4 linked regions of the Macaca mulatta genome follow. The protein of the gene in region 1 purifies or fractionates together with the protein of each later gene. This does not show direct contact. Links are inferred from orthologs where the notes say so. Each region holds a gene or a part of one and is shown in the gene's direction. Other genes may lie near its edges. The genes, in order: MAP1LC3A, CLTC, KEAP1 and CLTCL1.

The links.
Region 2: the proteins of MAP1LC3A (region 1) and CLTC purify together in Homo sapiens (affinity purification with mass spectrometry; 3 studies listed by BioGRID and IntAct, with this or other methods). This does not show direct contact. The link is inferred for Macaca mulatta from reciprocal best matches to the Homo sapiens genes MAP1LC3A and CLTC.
Region 3: the proteins of MAP1LC3A (region 1) and KEAP1 purify together in Homo sapiens (affinity purification with mass spectrometry; 3 studies listed by BioGRID and IntAct, with this or other methods). This does not show direct contact. The link is inferred for Macaca mulatta from reciprocal best matches to the Homo sapiens genes MAP1LC3A and KEAP1.
Region 4: the proteins of MAP1LC3A (region 1) and CLTCL1 purify together in Homo sapiens (affinity purification with mass spectrometry; 3 studies listed by BioGRID and IntAct, with this or other methods). This does not show direct contact. The link is inferred for Macaca mulatta from reciprocal best matches to the Homo sapiens genes MAP1LC3A and CLTCL1.

What each region holds. Positions count from the first base shown.
Region 1 is NC_133415.1:87,343,981-87,347,888, forward strand, and holds MAP1LC3A (microtubule-associated protein 1 light chain 3 alpha), read left to right. Parts: upstream 1-1,610; 5' UTR 1,611-1,765; coding exon 1,766-1,805; coding exon of another isoform or gene 1,806-1,826; intron 1,827-2,134; coding exon 2,135-2,190; intron 2,191-2,273; coding exon 2,274-2,380; intron 2,381-2,649; coding exon 2,650-2,812; 3' UTR 2,813-3,252; downstream 3,253-3,908. Other genes in the region: GPI-anchor transamidase component PIGU, read right to left, coding at 3,765-3,878. UniProt on the Homo sapiens protein: Ubiquitin-like modifier involved in formation of autophagosomal vacuoles (autophagosomes). While LC3s are involved in elongation of the phagophore membrane, the GABARAP/GATE-16 subfamily is essential for a later stage in autophagosome maturation.
Region 2 is NC_133421.1:50,365,027-50,369,524, reverse strand, and holds the start of CLTC (clathrin heavy chain 1), read left to right. Parts: upstream 1-1,666; 5' UTR 1,667-1,903; coding exon 1,904-1,945; intron 1,946-4,498. UniProt on the Homo sapiens protein: Clathrin is the major protein of the polyhedral coat of coated pits and vesicles. Two different adapter protein complexes link the clathrin lattice either to the plasma membrane or to the trans-Golgi network.
Region 3 is NC_133424.1:11,212,969-11,217,249, reverse strand, and holds the end of KEAP1 (kelch-like ECH-associated protein 1), read left to right. Parts: intron 1-402; coding exon 403-608; intron 609-886; coding exon 887-1,063; intron 1,064-2,776; coding exon 2,777-2,943; 3' UTR 2,944-3,470; downstream 3,471-4,281. UniProt on the Homo sapiens protein: Substrate-specific adapter of a BCR (BTB-CUL3-RBX1) E3 ubiquitin ligase complex that regulates the response to oxidative stress by targeting NFE2L2/NRF2 for ubiquitination.
Region 4 is NC_133415.1:33,412,221-33,416,805, forward strand, and holds the start of CLTCL1 (clathrin heavy chain 2), read left to right. Parts: upstream 1-1,628; 5' UTR 1,629-2,884; coding exon 2,885-3,400; exon of another isoform or gene 3,401-4,585. UniProt on the Homo sapiens protein: Clathrin is the major protein of the polyhedral coat of coated pits and vesicles. Two different adapter protein complexes link the clathrin lattice either to the plasma membrane or to the trans-Golgi network.

The sequences.
Region 1 (3,908 bases):
CTTTTTCCATCATTTTACTTTTGGTGCCCTTAGATTTTAAATGTCCTCTTGTAAATAGCATAGAGCTGCATTTTATTTTTTCTTGGCCAATCTGGTCATCTGTGTTTTAAGAGGTGAACGTAAACCACATTTTCTACCTCTGGTTTTGTACTATATATTTACCATCCCTTTTACTTTGCTTCCTTTTTCTCCTTTTCTGGCGTCCATTATAGTTTGTATTCTTTTGATGATCCCTCTTAAATATCTGAAATACACACCTGACTTTACAAAGCCAGAGAATGCTTAGTCTCTTTATCCCCCTCTCAAATCGAACTTCCTAAAACACCTTAACTCTGATTGCCCTCTCAGTCTCCCATGTTCTTCTGTCTCATGCATCTTGTTTCTGTGGCCCACAGATTATCCATTATTCATGTTGCATATTAAATACTTGTTTAGATTTACTGACATGTTTACTAATTTGCTCACCATTTTTCCATCTAATTTCTTCCTTTTGGGTTCCATGTCTTTGATACTGAAGTACATTCTTTAAAAATTATTTTGGCGGCTGGGCGCAGTGGCTCACGCCTGTAATCCCAGCACTTTGGGAGGCTGAGGCGGGCGGATCACGAGGTCAGGAGATCGAGACCATCCTGGCCAACATGGTGAAACCCCATCTCTACTAAAAACATAAAAAGTAGCTAGGCGTGGTGGCAGGCGCCTAATAATCCCAGCTCCTTAGGAGGCTGACTGAGGCAGGAGAATCGCTTGAACCAGGGAGGCGGAGGTTGCAGTGAGCTGAGATCGCACCACTCTAGCCTGGCGAAAGAACGAAACTCCCTTTCAAAAAAAAAAAAAAAAAAAGATGTTGATCTTCGGTCTGTGCCTTCTGCTCTGGATTTTAAGCATCATTTCTGACAGCTCTCATTCAGGAACTGCCTCTGCAGGTCTTTCAGTGCTCGCCTGTGGAGCTCTGCTCCGGCCTGCGAGTTCTCCTGGCGTTGCCATCCGTGGCCTTTTCCTTTTAATTCTCCATCACCTGTCCTCTGGTAAGCTGCTTGCTATCAGCCTCCAGGTCCACGATTTCTCTTCTGTTGTCCTGCTCTGCCTTCTTGCCACATCCTCTGAGACCTGAATTTCGATAGCTCTACTCTTCAATTATATTATTCTTTTTCAAACCTGGGCGTTCATTTCTAGCGTCTTGCTCTATCCTGTGTCTGACTGTGCCTCCCGCACCTTCTCCCTTCTCTTGCCCTGAGCCCCCTTGAAGGCGCCGGGCCTTTGGCTCCCGCTGTTTCCCACGGTGCCCAGAGCCGCGGGTCAGTCCTGACACAGACTCGGTGAGGGAAGGAAGTGGTGCCACGGGGCTGCAGCCTGGCCCACCCGCTCCATCGGCCCAGGGCGGCCCCACCGCTCTCCCGGCCTCACCAGAGTCGGGGCCACGGGAGAGGCTCCCGCGCTGCTCATGACGTCACGGGACTGTGACGCGCCCAGGAGCCCCGCCTCTCGTGTCCCGGGCCGGGGACCCAGGCTCTCTGCGCCGTGACGTCACGGGTCCGGGCGGGCGGGTTGTGCGTCGGCCCAATGGGAGCTGCGCGCCGGCCTCCCCTTTAAGGAATGTTGTGACCTGACGTCACCGGGCGAGTTACCTCCCGCAGCCGCCGCCGCCGTGCTCAGCGCGAGCGCCGGAGCCCTTGAGCGCGAGGCACGGAGCCCCCGGAGCCCCCAAACCGCAGCCACATCTCCGCGCCCCAGAGCCCCGGCCTGCGCGCCCAGCCGGGCCCGCGCGATGCCCTCCGACCGGCCTTTCAAGCAGCGGCGGAGCTTCGGTGAGGCCCGGCAGGCGAGCTGTGAGCTCGGGGTAGGGGTGCCGGGGAGGGGGGGTGCCCGGCCGACCCAGACTGCCGCAGGTGACGTCAGCCCCGTGACGTCAGGCTTCGGCTGGACCCTCGGGCTGGGAGGCTGGCTCCGGCCTGGGCGGGGGCTGCCTGCTTCCCCACCACGATAGGTGCCAGGGGCTGTGGGGCCTGACGGCCCCGGGGGCGGGGGCTGGAGCTGGGGCGTGGCCGGGGGCCGCCCCTTGGGGACAGGCAGGCGGAGACGTGGGGAGGACCTGGGCCGGGCCGACCCGGCCTCACGGTCTGGCCGCTGTCCGCAGCCGACCGCTGTAAGGAGGTACAGCAGATCCGCGACCAGCACCCCAGCAAAATCCCGGTAAGTCCTGCACCCCCAGCCCTGCCCCGGCCCCGCCTCGCGCGTCCCCGACACAACCCCCTGCCCGCCCGCCCTGCTCCCAGGTGATCATCGAGCGCTACAAGGGTGAGAAGCAGCTGCCCGTCCTGGACAAGACCAAGTTTCTGGTCCCGGACCATGTCAACATGAGCGAGTTGGTCAAGATCATCCGGTGCGTGGGCAGCCGCTGCCAGGTGGTGGCTTGGGTCGGGAAGGGAGACGGGTTCCCGCCGAGAAGGGGTCAGGGGTGATGGGACCGGTGGTGGACCCCTGTTCTGGGGCGGCTGGAAAGGTCAAGGTCGGGGCTGCAGTCGGTGCCGGGTCAGAGGTGACAGGTGGGGTGAGGATGGGTGTGAAAGGCTGGGAATCATTCTGGGGGTCAGGGCTACGTTGCCCCGTAGCCAAGCCCCTTACAGCCACATACTCTCCCGCCTGCCTCAGGCGCCGCCTGCAGCTGAACCCCACGCAGGCCTTCTTCCTGCTGGTGAACCAGCACAGCATGGTGAGCGTGTCCACGCCCATCGCGGACATCTACGAGCAGGAGAAAGACGAGGACGGCTTCCTCTACATGGTCTACGCCTCCCAGGAAACCTTCGGCTTCTGAGCCAGCAGTAGGGGGGTCGGCCTGGGAGTGGGGGGGGGCCCGGTCAGGCCCTGCCCAGAGAGCTCCTGGTTCCTGAACTGAGCTGCCTCTGCCGTGGTGGGCTGGGCAGGCATGTGCCCCCCTAGTCAGAGGGCAACCCACCTACTCTGCCCCTGGGTGGATCCTGGGCCGGTTGTGTTAGGGTTGTCCCTCTGGGTGCTGGCTGGGATGGGGGAGGGTTGGGAGCAGCCCCCAGCACCCCGCTGTGTGGTTCATCTTTTTTTTAGGCCCCTGCCTGACTGCCCATCTGCCCCTCACCCACCCAAGGCTCTGCCCACGCCTGGACCTGCCCACCCCTGAAAGACTGGCCCCTGGCTCCCCGCCCCTCGGTCTCCACATGGTGTATGGATCTGTGGTCATTGTCCCTCTGCAGAATAAAGATTGCTCAGGCCTGCCTGGCCCCGTGCCTCCAGCTGCTTGCTTGGGAGTGGGAAGGGTGCTGGTAGGGCTGTCTGCACCATCCCCGGGCTCTGGCGCACAGACTTGTGTTCTGTGGCCTCAGTGCTTGCTCTGGAAACCCACACCTGTGTGTAGTGTTCAGAACATTAGGGTCCAACCCTCTAGGAGTGCAATGCAGATGTGGTCTCAGGGTAGACTTCATAACAAAAAACATTTATTAAGTAGCTACAACCTAACAAGCCCTGCTCACCTGCCTCTTCTCCTTCCTGCCTGGGAGGGGGCTCCTTGGTGTGCAGAGCCACGAAGTGGGGGGGTCCAAGTTGGGGAGCTTCCAGTTCTTCCCCACAGGCCTTACTATCAGCCATGGGTCTCTTTTGGTACCAGAGACTTGTGACCCTGGACTCGAACCTCTTCTGCCCGAGCACTCGCCTGCTGGCAACTCTGACTGGAGGGCTTGGCCCAGCTTCTGGCCCCTCAGCCCCCTGAGGTCCACAAAGCCCTGTGCCAGCCAGGCCTACTTGAGCACAAGCATGGCCTCTGTGCCGTCCTTGGCGGTCAAGTAGAGGCCGTGTGTGAGGTAGTACTCCCGCCGCAGGAAGGCATAGAAGTAATCAGAGATGAGCAGGATCTGGGGGGAGAGAGAGGATATGAGGTGCTG
Region 2 (4,498 bases), on another chromosome or scaffold:
CTATCAGACTGGCATTTCATTTCAAACGTTGCGGAACACAGAGGATCTTCGTGTATTTAGCTTAACAATACAAAAAGATATTTTGCAACTATAAATATTCACTCTTACAACATGGTGGTAAGACTTTTCTTTGCAGAACAATCTTTGCCCTGTTACCTGCCAGATTCTTCTCTCGTGCTCAGTATGAGACAGTTAAGTAAAAGAGAAAAACACTAAAAGCAACTGATTGGCAAACTTCTCACCCTAACTCAAACTTAGCACACAAAATTACTGTCTACCCAGTAGGGTTTTATGTCCTTTAACTGAAAAGGGCACTAAAAATAATTACTGTGGACTTGAGCTTTTCTCTTTCGGGGGAGGGTGGGGAATCACCTCTCTTACAAAGATAAAAGGCACAGAATTAAAGTCTTTCATCCTTTTTTGTATTGGTGCGATTATGAAATATTATGGCTTATACTTTAGCAAGAAAGTACTGGGAAGGTTATTATTAATCGACAATGAATGCCGTTGATACCTCCATGCTCTTTGAAGACATGATGCTCCGGCTTTGAAGCGCTGCATTTCTACACTGCTAACCTACAGGAACCTATGTTGAGGTGGTCCCACGGAAATGCACGACTAACAGTTCATCTCTTTCCTCCAGGAACCTTCAGGCTTTACCAAGCATCCTTACCCTAATTATCTAAATCTCTGAGACATAAATTATTTGATGTGGCTAAAAATCCTCCTGCTAGAATTTGAGTCCAATCCTTGTACGTTCTGATACTCGAATTCTTTAACGAAACTGATTACTGAGCTAGGCTGACACATGTCCGCCCGCCAAAATGTCCGCAGAAACGTTAAGAGAAGCTGTCATAAGGCCAGCTTGAGACACATCATAAATGGCCTTCGCTGTCCTTTGAGCTAATTATCTAACACCCGAAGAGAGTGCCGGTTCTAGTTAGAATCCGCGCGTCAGGTTCTCCAACCGTCAGAAGGGCGTGTGTGAGGGCAGGGAGGATTTTAAACCCCGTTTCAGGCCCCCTCCCTAGGCTGTAGGAAACCACCCACTCTGAAGCCCGGCGGGGGAGGAGTGCTGCAGCCAGCTGCCGAGGGAGCGCTCTGCGGCGAGGCCGTTTCCCTGAGTCACGGAGAGGGCGGGAGGCTGCCCCCGTCTGCCCCCGCCACGTCCTCCTGTAAGGGGCTCAGTCCAAACAGGCAGGGGTCGCAGGGGAAGGAAGCGGCACCCGTCATGCCTCAAGGTGGCCCAACAGCCACTTCACTCCCAGGAGACGCCGCATTTCCTTAAAACGCGCTCTCCATTCTGGCAGCAATCAGCCGACCCTTCCCCATCAGTATCACGTGCACCTGGAAGTACGTGGGTGGGACCTAAAGCGCCCACGGAAGTGACGTCGGTCGCTCCGAGTCGCATGATGTGGCAAAATGCAAAAAAAAAAAAAAAAAAGTGGGGGTAGAAAAAGAAGATTGGCGAAAGTGATGAGTCTAAAAAAGTAGTCCCTCCGGTTCCTCTGTTGCCCCCCGTGTGGCGTCAGAAGAGAGGCTCCGGGCGCACAGCGCCCGGAATTCCTGCACCCGCCGCACGCACCGCTCCGTGGAGGGGTACATAAGGCGGAGGGGGTGAGGCGACTGGGCGGAGTTCTGTCGCCGGGATCCTTCCGCTGGGCTCAGCCGTTTCCGGAGTCTGCGCTGCGCCCGGTTCCGCCATTGCGGCTCTCCTGGCCCGTGGAGCCTCCGCCCCCGACCCGAGCTCTTTCGTCTGCGTGCCAGTTTCCTGCGTCCCCGGAGAGGATCCTGCTGAGCCCAGCCTCCCCCCTCCCCTTCTCCTCCTCTCCCTCGGAGAGCCCGGGCAGCCACTGCCCCGCAGCCCCAGTGACAGGAGGAGACCATTCCCCCCGACAGCGCCATGGCCCAGATTCTGCCAATTCGTTTTCAGGAGCATCTCCAGGTGCGGCCGGGCCCGGGCTGGTGAGGGCTGTGGAGAAGGTGGTAGGAATAGTGGAAGAAGCTGGAGTCTGGGCCCCGAGCAGGATCGGAGCTGGAGGGGTGGGGGGGTTGTCGGTCTTTGGGGTAGGTGGAGGAGGGGGCACTATCTTAGAAAGCTTAAACTGTTAAATGATGTGGGGCTTGGATGAAAGGACAGGAGTTGGGGTGCAAAGGGCTGCAAAGACCAGGCCTGGATCCAAAGGCCTCTCGATCTTGCTTCCTGGATGGCCAGAACTGCGCGTACAAACTCTCTCCTCCCCATTTTGTTCAGTTCATTCATTTGGGTAGGGGAGTGGGAGGGGGGATTCTCTCTTGTTTCTACCAGAGCAAGGATTCTTATCCCCTGGGCCAGTGCGGGGCTGTCACCTTCCATTGCTCTCCTCTTTCCCTCTTCGTGTCTGCACCCAGGAGTTGTGGGGCGGGTGGGTTGGGGAGGAGCAACCTTTTTTTTTTCCTCCCTCTGCGGCTCTCAACTGAGAAAGGCACCTTCTCCGGTGGTGGGGGTTGGGGGTGGTGGTGAGGCGGTGGCTTGTCTCTTGCCTTCCTTGAGGCAGTAGGGACAGAAGGTCACTGAAAGAACGAAACGAGGGTAGAATGGGAGAACGCATTTCTCAGAACGATGTCAATCTCAGAGTGTGTGGGGTCGAGCTCCCTAAGGAAACTCGCCTCCCCTTCCCACTTTTTTTATTTCTTTGGGGATGTTGTGGCTCTTAACCCCTCTTTGGTTCTAGAAGGTAGGAAAGAGTGATACAGAGGTTATCTTCTAGTCTTCTCGAGTAGTAGCAGGTAGTTTTGAATATCTTCCTCAGGATCGCATGGAATTGAACAGAGCCCTGGGGACAGAGCACAGCTGCTCTGAGACCTGCGGGGCTATTTGGTCTGTAACTGGCTTCCCTTTAGTAAGTTCTAGAGTTCTTTCCCATGGTTCCTTATCCTGGAGGCAACATATTGTTGTCTCATCTGGCAGCATGCCAATCGCTGGCCTAGGCAGGTGACCATTGGAAGGCTTCACTGAATTAAACCTCTTCAGAGCTTTTGATTTTCCTGTGTCACCAATCCTGATTTTTACTGTAGCTGAAACAATTTATTCCTATTAATTTGCTTTCTTCCCAAATATCCCCTTAAAGAAACCTGCCTCAGCTCTATCGTCTGAAGGGCTAATTCCATAATGACAGAGAATGCAGTGGTTTGACATGACACTAATATCAGTGACTTATTAGACACTTTACCATTGAAGACCATTTTTATTTACATTCCCCCATTGGTATAACATACATAAAAGAGTTTTGTTAATAAAAGGTTTTAATATTCAGGCTATAAGTAACATAATTTCATATTTCTTTGCAGGTATTACCATGTTTGCACTAGCAAGGACTTATTTTCCTTTAAGGCTTGAAATGTAAAGAATAATAAATCTTTACCCATAAAATGAGTCAAATAATGCACTTTCTTCAGTCATCTATAATTTTCAAATAACTCATCTGAAGTAATGGAATATACCTTGGCATATCTTGGCATATATATATAAATATATTTATGCCAATAATAAAAACACTTTTACAGAAGGTTAAAAACGTTAAATAACAAAGTGGATTTTTTTTTAATCAATCCAAGTTTAATTGCTTTAGTTATTTTTGTTAAAGTGGGGTGGCAAATGAATGTGGAGAGTTGAGAAAGTGCTGTTCTTAAGTGTGAGGGGAAAACGCGGGCTTGTTTTCATACTAAGCTGCATCTGAAATATCTTTCTGCAGACAAATGTTTATAAACCACACAAAGAATCAAGTACAGCTGCTGTTTATTTTCCATGGCAGATGTATAGCTCACTACTAAATCTTGTGGTGGTTCGAGTAATAGCTTTTCATTTCTTTTAAAGAGGAGACAAGAATTGTTAAATGATGCCAGAGATTGGAACCCAACCTTGTCACTTATTGAAGACAAATTTAATACATGTCTGTTTTGTAACTGGCTCAGTTTCAGCAGATACTTGAATGAAGCCATTTTCTTCTCAAATAATTTGAAGATTTTGAATATAAAGCAGATTTGCAAATTGAAAATTCAGCCCTCTGTGTTTTGGATTGCTATGTCATGCCTAAAGTTAAGCTTGCTTAGCTAATATGACTGTGTGCTCCAGCTGATTAATTGCAGAGCGCAAATAACTACAGCCTCTTCCATGATAATATATCTCCTGACTTCATTATCTCCTACCTTTTGAAAAATTAATAAGGTTTTTGTTTTTTGAAGAGACAGGGTTTTTGCTGGAGGTCAGTGGCACTGTCACAGGTCACTGCAGCCTTGACCTACTGGGCTCAAGCCATCCTCCCACCTCAGCATCCTGAGTAGTTGGGACTACGGCCATGAGCCACCACACCTGGCTAATTTTTGTATTTTTTGTAGAGATGGGGCTTCACTATGTTGCCCAGGCTAGTCTCGAATTCCTGGGCTCAAGCAATCCTTTGCCTTGGCCTCCCAAAGTGCTGGGATAATAGGTGTGAACCACTGAGCCCAACTAATAAGG
Region 3 (4,281 bases), on another chromosome or scaffold:
TTTTTTGAAATGGAGTCTTTCTCTGTCGCCTAGGCTGGAGTGCAGTGGCACGATCTCAGCTCACTGCAACCTACACCTCCCAGGTTCAAATGATTATCTCACCTCAGCGTCCCGAGTAGCTGGGATTACAGGCACCTGCCATCACACCCAGCTAATTTTTGTATTTTTAATAGAGACAAGGTTTTACCATATTGGCCAGGCTGGTCTTAAACTCCTGACCTCAGGTGATCCACCCTCCTCGGCCTCCCAAAGTGCTGGGATTACAGACACGTGCCACTGCGCCTGATGACCCTGTCTCTTTAAAGGAAGAAAAAAAGGGAAAAAAGGGGTATCAGGCCTTTAAGTATTCCACGAAGGTCAGCTATAATGGCCATTGTCCCCATTTTTCTTATGCCCTTGCAGGTATGAGCCAGAGCGGGATGAGTGGCACTTGGTGGCCCCAATGCTGACACGAAGGATCGGGGTGGGCGTGGCCGTCCTCAATCGTCTGCTTTATGCCGTGGGGGGCTTTGACGGGACAAACCGCCTTAATTCAGCTGAGCGTTACTACCCAGAGAGGAACGAGTGGCGAATGATCACAGCAATGAACACCATCCGAAGCGGGGCAGGTGGGTGGGGACGGTAGTGAGGGGAGCATCCAGGAACACCCCCACCATCCTGGGGTGAAACTGAGCCAGGCCTGGGAGAGACCCCCTGTTGCAACCCTCACCCTGAGATAACCACAGAAGCACTGGATTCTGATAGAGTCCAAGCTTCTCTCTCTCCATGCTTCATTTCTGAGGGTGAGAAGGGAGAGGAGAGAGGAAAGGTCTCCCTCAAGGAGGTGATGGCTGGGGCTCCCAAAGCCAGTCCTCCAGAGTCACCTTCTCTGCACGGTGCCCTTTAGGCGTCTGTGTCCTGCACAACTGCATCTATGCTGCCGGGGGCTATGATGGTCAGGACCAGCTGAACAGCGTGGAGCGTTATGACGTGGAAACAGAGACGTGGACTTTCGTAGCCCCCATGAAGCACCGGCGAAGTGCCCTGGGGATCACTGTCCACCAGGGGAGAATCTACGTCCTTGGTGAGGCCCTGGGGGTGGGGAAGAGTCCCGACTAGCCCCATCTCTTGTGGACTGTGGCTGCTTTTGCTTTTTTGCTTTCCTTTTTTTTTTTTTTTTTTTCTTAGAAACAGGGTCTCGCTCTGTCGCCCAGGCTGAGTGCAGTGGTGTGATCACAGCTTGCTGGAGCCTCAACCTCCTGGGCTCCAGCCATCCTCCTGCCTCAGCTTCCCAAGTAGCAGGGACCACACGCACGCACCACCACACCCGGCTAATGTTTGTTTTTTTGAGATGGAGTCTCGCAATGTTGCCCAGGCTGGGGTGCAATGGCATGATCTCAGCTCACTGCAACCTCCGCCTCCTGGAGGTTCAAGCAATTCTCCTGTCTTAGCCTCCTGAGTAGCTGGGACTATAGGTGTGTGCCACCGCACCTGGCTAATTTTTTGTATTTTAGTAGAGATAGGGTTTCACCATGTTAGCCAGGCTGGTCTCGAACTCCTGACCTCGTGATCCACCCACTTCAGCCTTCCAAAGTGCTGGGATTATAGGCGTGAGCCACCGCGCTGGGGCTTTTTCTTTTTTTGAGACAGGAGTCTCGCTCTGTTGCCAGGCTGGAGTGCAATGGCGCGATCTCAGCTCACTGCAACCTCCGCCTCCTGGTTTCAAGCGATTCTCCCCCCTCAGCCTCCCATGTAGCTGATATTACAGGTGCCCACCACTATGCCCTGCTAATTTTTATATTTTAGTAGAGATGGGGTTTCACCATGCTGGTCAGGCTGGTCTTGAACTCCTGACCTCAGGTGATCTGCCCACATCAGCCTCCCAAAGTGCTGGGATTACAGGCGTGAGCCACCACACTCGGCTTAATGTTATTTATGTATTTATTTATTTTTGAAACGGAGTCTGGCTCTGTCGCTCAGGCTGGAGTGCAGTGGCACACTCTCGGCTCACTGCAAGCTCTACCTCCCAGGTTCATGCCATTCTCCTGGCTCAGCCTCCCGAGTAGCTGGGATTATAGGCACCTGCCACCACGCCCGGCTAATTTTTATTTTTTTTTGTATTTTTAGTAGAGATGGGGTTTCACCATGTTAGCCAGGATGGTCTCAATCTCCTGACCTTGTGATCCGCCCACCTCGGCCTCCCAAAGTGCTGGGATTACAGGCGTGAGCCACAGCACCCGGCTGTTTTTATTTATTTTTATTTTATTTTTTTGAGACAGAGTTTTGCTCGTGTTGCCCAGGCTGGAATGCAATGGCGTGATCTCGGCTCACTGCAACCTCTGCCTTCCAGGTTCCAGTGATTCTCCTGTCTCAGCCTCCCTAGTAGCTGGAACTACAGGCACGCACCACCACGCCTGGCTAAATTTTTATGTTTTTTTTTGGTAGAGATGGGATTTCACCATGTTGCCCAGGCTGGTCTCAAATTCCTGGACTCAAGTGATCCACCCACCTCAGTCTCCCAAAGTGCTAGATTTACAGGCTGAGCTACCGCGCCTGGCCTTTTTTTTTTTTTTTTTCTTCAGTAAGAGACTAGAGTTTGCTATGTTGCCCAGGCTGTCCTCGAACTCCTGGCCTCAAGCGATCCTCCCGCCTCAGCCCTGCAAAGTGCTAGGATTATAGGCGTGAGCCACTGCGCCCGGCCTGCTTTTGCATCTCACAGCTGCTTCTCCCTCTTTCTGTCCCCTGCTCTTGGATGTGGTGTGACAGGTGGTGACCGTCCCTTCTGTTCTTCCTGCAGGAGGCTATGATGGTCACACGTTCCTGGACAGTGTGGAGTGTTACGACCCAGATACAGACACCTGGAGCGAGGTGACCCGAATGACATCGGGCCGGAGCGGAGTGGGCGTGGCTGTCACCATGGAGCCCTGCCGGAAGCAGATCGACCAGCAGAACTGTACCTGTTGAGGCACTTTTGTTTCTTGGGCGAAAATACAGTCCAATGGGGAGTATCATTGTTTTTGTACAAAAACCAGGATTAAAAGAAAAAAGACAGCACTGCAAATAACCCATCTTCCGGGAAGGGAGGCCGCGATGCCTCAGTGTTAAAATGACATCTCAAAAAGAAGTCCAAAGCGGGAATCATGTGCCTCTCAGCGGAGCCCCAGGAGTGTCCAAGACAGCCTGGCTGGGAAAGGGGGTGTGGAAAGAGCAGGCTTCCAGGAGAGAGGCCCCCAAACCCTCTGGCCCTGGGTCCCACCCACCCAGCCAGCCACGCCGGCAGCCCTCACCTTGTGATTTGTTCTTGGATACCTGGGAGGGGGCCAATGGGGGCCTCAGGCGGAGGCCCCCTCTGGAAATGTGGTTCCCAGGGATGGGCCTGTACATAGAAGCCACCGGATGGCACTTCCCCACCGGATGGACAGTTATTTTGTTGATAAGTAACCCTGTAATTTTCCAAGGAAAATAAAGAACAGACTAACTAGTGTCTTTCACCCTGGCTCTGGGCTGGAGGTCTGAAACCCGGGGCCAGAAAGGGCTCTTCTCCTGAAACACACTCCTCTTTGACTTAGGGCTGGTATTTGAAACCGTTTTGTAATCTTTGCCCATCGCATTTTGATATGTAGGGCATCTTTCTCCCCATAGGCAAGCCACACAGCTGTCCTTCAGTTTCAGCTGCCTTGGAAGACAAGGAGCTAATTCCTAGTCACATCTCCCAGGGCTCCCCAAGCTCATTTTTTTTTTTTTCCTTTTATTTTGAGACAGAGTTTTGCTCTTGTTGCGCAGGCTGGAGTGCAATAGCGTGATCTCAGCTCACAGCAACCTCTGCCTCCTGGGTTCAAGTGATTCTCCTGCCTCAACCTCCCGAGTAGCTGGGATTACAGGCGTGTGCCACCACATCTGGCTAATTTTGTATTTTTTTTTTTTTTTTGAGACGGAGCCTTGCTCTGTCGCCCAGGCTGGAGTGCAGTGGTCGGATCTCAGCTCACTGCAAGCTCCGCCTCCCGGGTTCACGCCATTCTCCTGCCTCAGCCTCCTGAGTAGCTGGGACTACAGGCGCCCGTCACCTCGCCCGGCTAGTTTTTTGTATTTTTTAGTAGAGATGGGGTTTCACCGTGTTAGCCAGGATGGTCTTGATCTCCTGACCTTGTGATCCACCCGTCTCGGCCTCCCACAGTGCTGGGATTACAGGCTTGAGCCACCGCGCCCGGCCGCTAATTTTGTATTTTCAGTAGAGACAGAGTTTCTCCATGCTGGTGAGGCTGGTCTCAACTCCCAGCCTCAGGTGATCCGCCCGCCTCGGCC
Region 4 (4,585 bases), about 54 Mb from region 1:
GGCTGAAACTCTAAGACACATATTTCTCATTGGCAAACAAAGAAGACCTGATCTAATATTCCCTATTAGACTAAGCTGATAGGTTGACAGAGGGAGACCATAGGGCCACTTCCTGTGAGCATCACTCCAGCTAGACTTCTTCAACAAGGAAGCAGCACACTCTTCCCACAGGAGAAGCTGAATCCAGTTTGAAGTTTTTCCAGGACTTGCAGAACCAGCCTCAATATGCCTTCTCCTTAGAGGTCTGGGTGAGAGTCTCCCAGTGCCCTCTTTAGGGGGCTTACTCCCAGCTCCACAGCCACCCCTCATCCATAGTATATGTCTAAGTCCCATAGGGACCCTCCTCAGAGGTCTGGGTCCCATCCCCATGGGATCTCTCCTCTGGGCTCAAAGAGCCCAGCCCCAGCTGGTCAACACACCTCCTCAGAGATCTGAATTCCAGCTCTGCAAGCCCTTCCTTTAAGCTATAATAATTCCAGCTTCTTTTTCATCTTTGAGTTCTAGGGGTGGTAGCTGTGTCCTATGTTTGTACCTCCATATCTTGGGATTTTCCTTTTATTGAGTTAACTTTATTTCCTGTTAACTATTGTTTATATTCAATTCCCTCTGTTTAAATAACTGATGCACTTTCTCTTCTGTGGTTTGAAGGTTTGTGTCCCCTCCAAAATTAATGTTGAAACTTAATCCCGGGCCAGGCGCGGTGGCACACGCCTGTAATCCCAGCACTTTGGGAGGCCGAGGTGGATGGATCACCTGAGGCCAGGAGTTTGAGACCAGCCTGGTCAACATGGTGAGACCCTGTCTCTACTAAAAATGCAAAAATTAGCCAGGCATGGTGGTGGGCGCCTGTAGTCCCAGCTACTTGGGAGGCTGAGGCAGGAGAATGGCTTGAACCTGAGAGGCAGAGATTGCAGTAAGCAGAGATCGTGCCACTGCACACCAGCCTGAGAGCCAGAGCCAGACTCTGTCTCAAAAAAAAAAAAAAAAAAAAAAAAAAAAATTGAAAGTTTTTTTTAAGGGTTACTTAGCAAGTTACCTACAAGTGATGAGAATAGTAAAGTCCCTTTCAAGTCAGAACATTTAGTTTTTTTACAAATATATTAATTTTATTTCCTGTTAACTATAACTATCACTTATATTCACTTCTGTCTAGTCAAATAACTGATGTGCTTTCTGTCTCTTCTATGGTTTGAAGAGACAGAAAGATTTGTGTCTCCTCTAAAATTAATGTTGAAACTTAATCCTCACTTGAGGTCCCAACTTATTAACAATCCTGTCACTTTGCTTAACTACAATTTTCTTAAATTCTTTCTTTTTTTTTTTTTTTTTTTTTGAGGCGGAGTCTCGCTCTGTCGCCCAGGCTGGAGTGCTGTGGCCAGATCTCAGCTCACTGCAAGCTCCGCCTCCCGGGTTCCCGCCATTCTCCTGCCTCAGCCTCCCGAGTAGCTGGGACTACAGGCGCCCGCCACCTAGCCCGGCTAGTTTTTTTGTATTTTTTAGTAGAGACGGGGTTTCACCGTGTTAGCCAGGATGGTCTCGATCTCCTGACCTCGTGATCAGCCCGTCTCGGCCTCCCAAAGTGCTGGGATTACAAGCTTGAGCCACCGCGCCCGGCCAAATTCTTTCTTTTGGGTATAAATTTTTAGTTTTAATCCCCTAAAAGCCCTGGGGAAGGTGATTTAGGGAGTGATGGTATTAATTACTAAAAGATTTATATAATGTTTGGGGTAAAGGGTACTTGGAGTCACAGGCATCACTGCCAAAATAAAGGGATTTGGGAAATGTAGTACTACCCACAGCAAAATCCAGCTCTATATTTAGCGGATGAGGCCACACGGATTTTAGAAACGGCAGGCTGCAGAGGTCTTGGCTAATAGTGGAAAAGAGATTTAACTTGAAAGTGAACAGTCTGTTCTATTCCTTAATATATTTTTGGCTTCTAGATGGTCAAGCCGTTGCGCAAATAATTGCACCATCCTTGTCTTATTCAAGGTGGGCTGTTCATATCTTAAAATTACCAGTGAGCAACAAGGAAAGCAGCAGAGACGGCTATCGATGACACCGTAGGAGTGCCTGTGCTGAATGCCAAGGGCTTCCCTTTCCTGACAGATATCTTTTATGCAGCTGAATCATCTGTATGCAAAACACCTCAGCCAACGGTGCCTCGGAAAAACAACTGGCTGCTGGGCAAACCAGGTGTGGGCTCCAGCTTCGACCTGCTACTACTGTCGTGCAGCCACGGGCACTCTGGGTGATCCTCACTGGCCTGGGGCTGGTCATCTGCTGCTAGATGAGCTTCGCTGACTCTTAGCATTGATATTCCAACACAGTGTCCTCTAGAAACTGCATGAGCCAGGAAAGATATTTCTTAAAGGAGCAGGGACCGAGCCTCACGCCGAAACACGTCTGTAACAGGTACAGTCACGTGTCCCATGCATCCATGCATTCTGAGGCATGCGTCTCGGCTGTGGGATCCTCACAAGGGAACTTACACAAACTCAGATGGCACAGCCACTACACAACTAGGCAGCTGATGCGGTCCGCTGCTGCTAGGCTGTACACCCGCACCGCGTGTGAGGTGCAGAATTCCGCCGGCACCCGTAATGACACACCTGTACCGTGTTATCTCCAAATACAGGGAAGGAAATGTCCTTGGCTAAGCCCTCACCAGAGGACAGGAAGTTTCCAGCTCCGTTATCATCTTATGGGACCACCGTCATATACACGGTCCTCCTCAGACCAAGAGGTCGTTCGTTATATGGCACATGTGGTTCTTCCAAGGCCCTTTTCCATGTTTCTGTCACATCCGTGCCTGCGTAAAAAGTGGCCCTGAACTCAACCGTCCAGAGTTGGAGGCAGAACTAGCACCACTGCCCCGCTCCACATGTGGAAGGCGCTGGGCAAGGACCGCCGCAGACCCTGTCAGGGTTTATCCCCTGAAAACCTTTCACTCGGGGACCTCGCGCACACCGCTTCAGGGCAGAGGGCGCGCGGGACTACTTTCCGCGGACCCTCGGAGCGGGGGGAGGGATCTGCGCAGGCGGGGCGGGGCGGGGCGGGGGCGGGGCGGGGGCGGGGGCGGGGCGGGGCGGGGGCGGGGCGGGGGCGGGGGAGCGGGGGCAGGGGAGGGGCGGGAGGAAGGGGCGCGGGGGAGGGGCAGGGGAGGGACGAGGGACGGGGGAGGGGCAGCGGAGGGGGTGGGGGCCAGGGCGCCGTCAGGAGGAGGGCGGGGGCCGGGACCTGGAGTCGGAACAACTGCGCCTGCGCCGTCGCCACCGGTCAGCCCGCGCGAGGGGTCGGCGGTCATCCCTGCCGCTTCCACCGCCGCCGCCGCAGCTGCCTAGGTCCCGCACCAGCCATGGCGCAGATCCTCCCTATTCGCTTTCAAGAGCACTTCCAGGTGAGGCCCGGAGGGCCCGGGGGATGCGCCCCGCGCTCCGTCCTGTCAGCCGCGCCTCCGCCGGCCGGCCTCTCAGGCTTGACCCCGCGCCCCTAGCCCCGCTGAGCCGCTGGCCAGCTGGCCGCGCCGACTTCTGACCTCCCACCTGGGTTGGGGCTGCGGGGTCCCGGGCGCGGCGGCCGCTCGCGAGGACCCGCTCGGGTGCCGTCGCCGAAGCCCGTTACCGGCGGGCGCCGGCTGGGGAACGCTGGTGGTGGAAGCGAACGCCCCCTGGGACGCCCCGCTCAGTGCCCGCGAGGACGCACACAGATTCCCGCTTCAGGCGGGGCAACCCGAGGGCCGCGCCGATCCCACAGCTCCACGCCCCGCTTGGTGTTCTCCGGTCCTTATTCGCCCCTGAGTTTGCCTCTGTGCTCTGTTTTCGTTCCCAGGGCGGCTTCCCCTGGGAGGACCGTGAACATGCGTGACCCAAGAGAAAAATTTCTCAGGGCTAAGCCGAAGTAGGGCTTTTCAATGCAGTAACACTTCCAAAGCCTGCCTTTTTAATAAGGTCCCAGTTTGTTCTCCGTTTGTTTGTGCTCAGGAACATAAGGACTGGTCGCCTGCTTTGAGCAAAGGCTTGGGTCGGGCGCCTTGCGGGCCGCTCACGGGTCTGCCCGGGAACGGCGCTGGTCCCCTCGTTTACCCGGGGAGGTGCGACAGAGGAGGGTCTCCAGCGGCTCCTCCCTGAGTGCTCCATGTTAAATCATCACACTCCCATTCGTTGCGATTCGCTTACTCTTTTGTAGATGAGGAAACCGAGTCTCAAAAGTGTTGAACTCATCTTCATTCAATAAGAACAGGATTCAGACTCCAGTCTTTTTGACTACAAAGTAGTACATCGAGGAACGTGCTTGATTGAAAGTTCCTGTTTTCACAGTGCAGAGCATTGTTAGCCCTAGATGCAGACGGGAAAGGCCTTGGGACCTGTGTAGTGACCAGTCCGGTCCCCTCATTCTGCAGACTGGAAACTTGATATCCAGAGGATCCTGCCAGGGTCGCTTGGTTAGTGACACAGTGGAAATTGTGTGGAGGTGGAAGTGCCTCGACATCTGTCCCCCTGGACTTCATTCTGCCACTAAGCTGAGCCAGCGCCAGTCATGTTGAGGTAGCAAAATACTGCTGCTGCTCATAATAATGAGATGA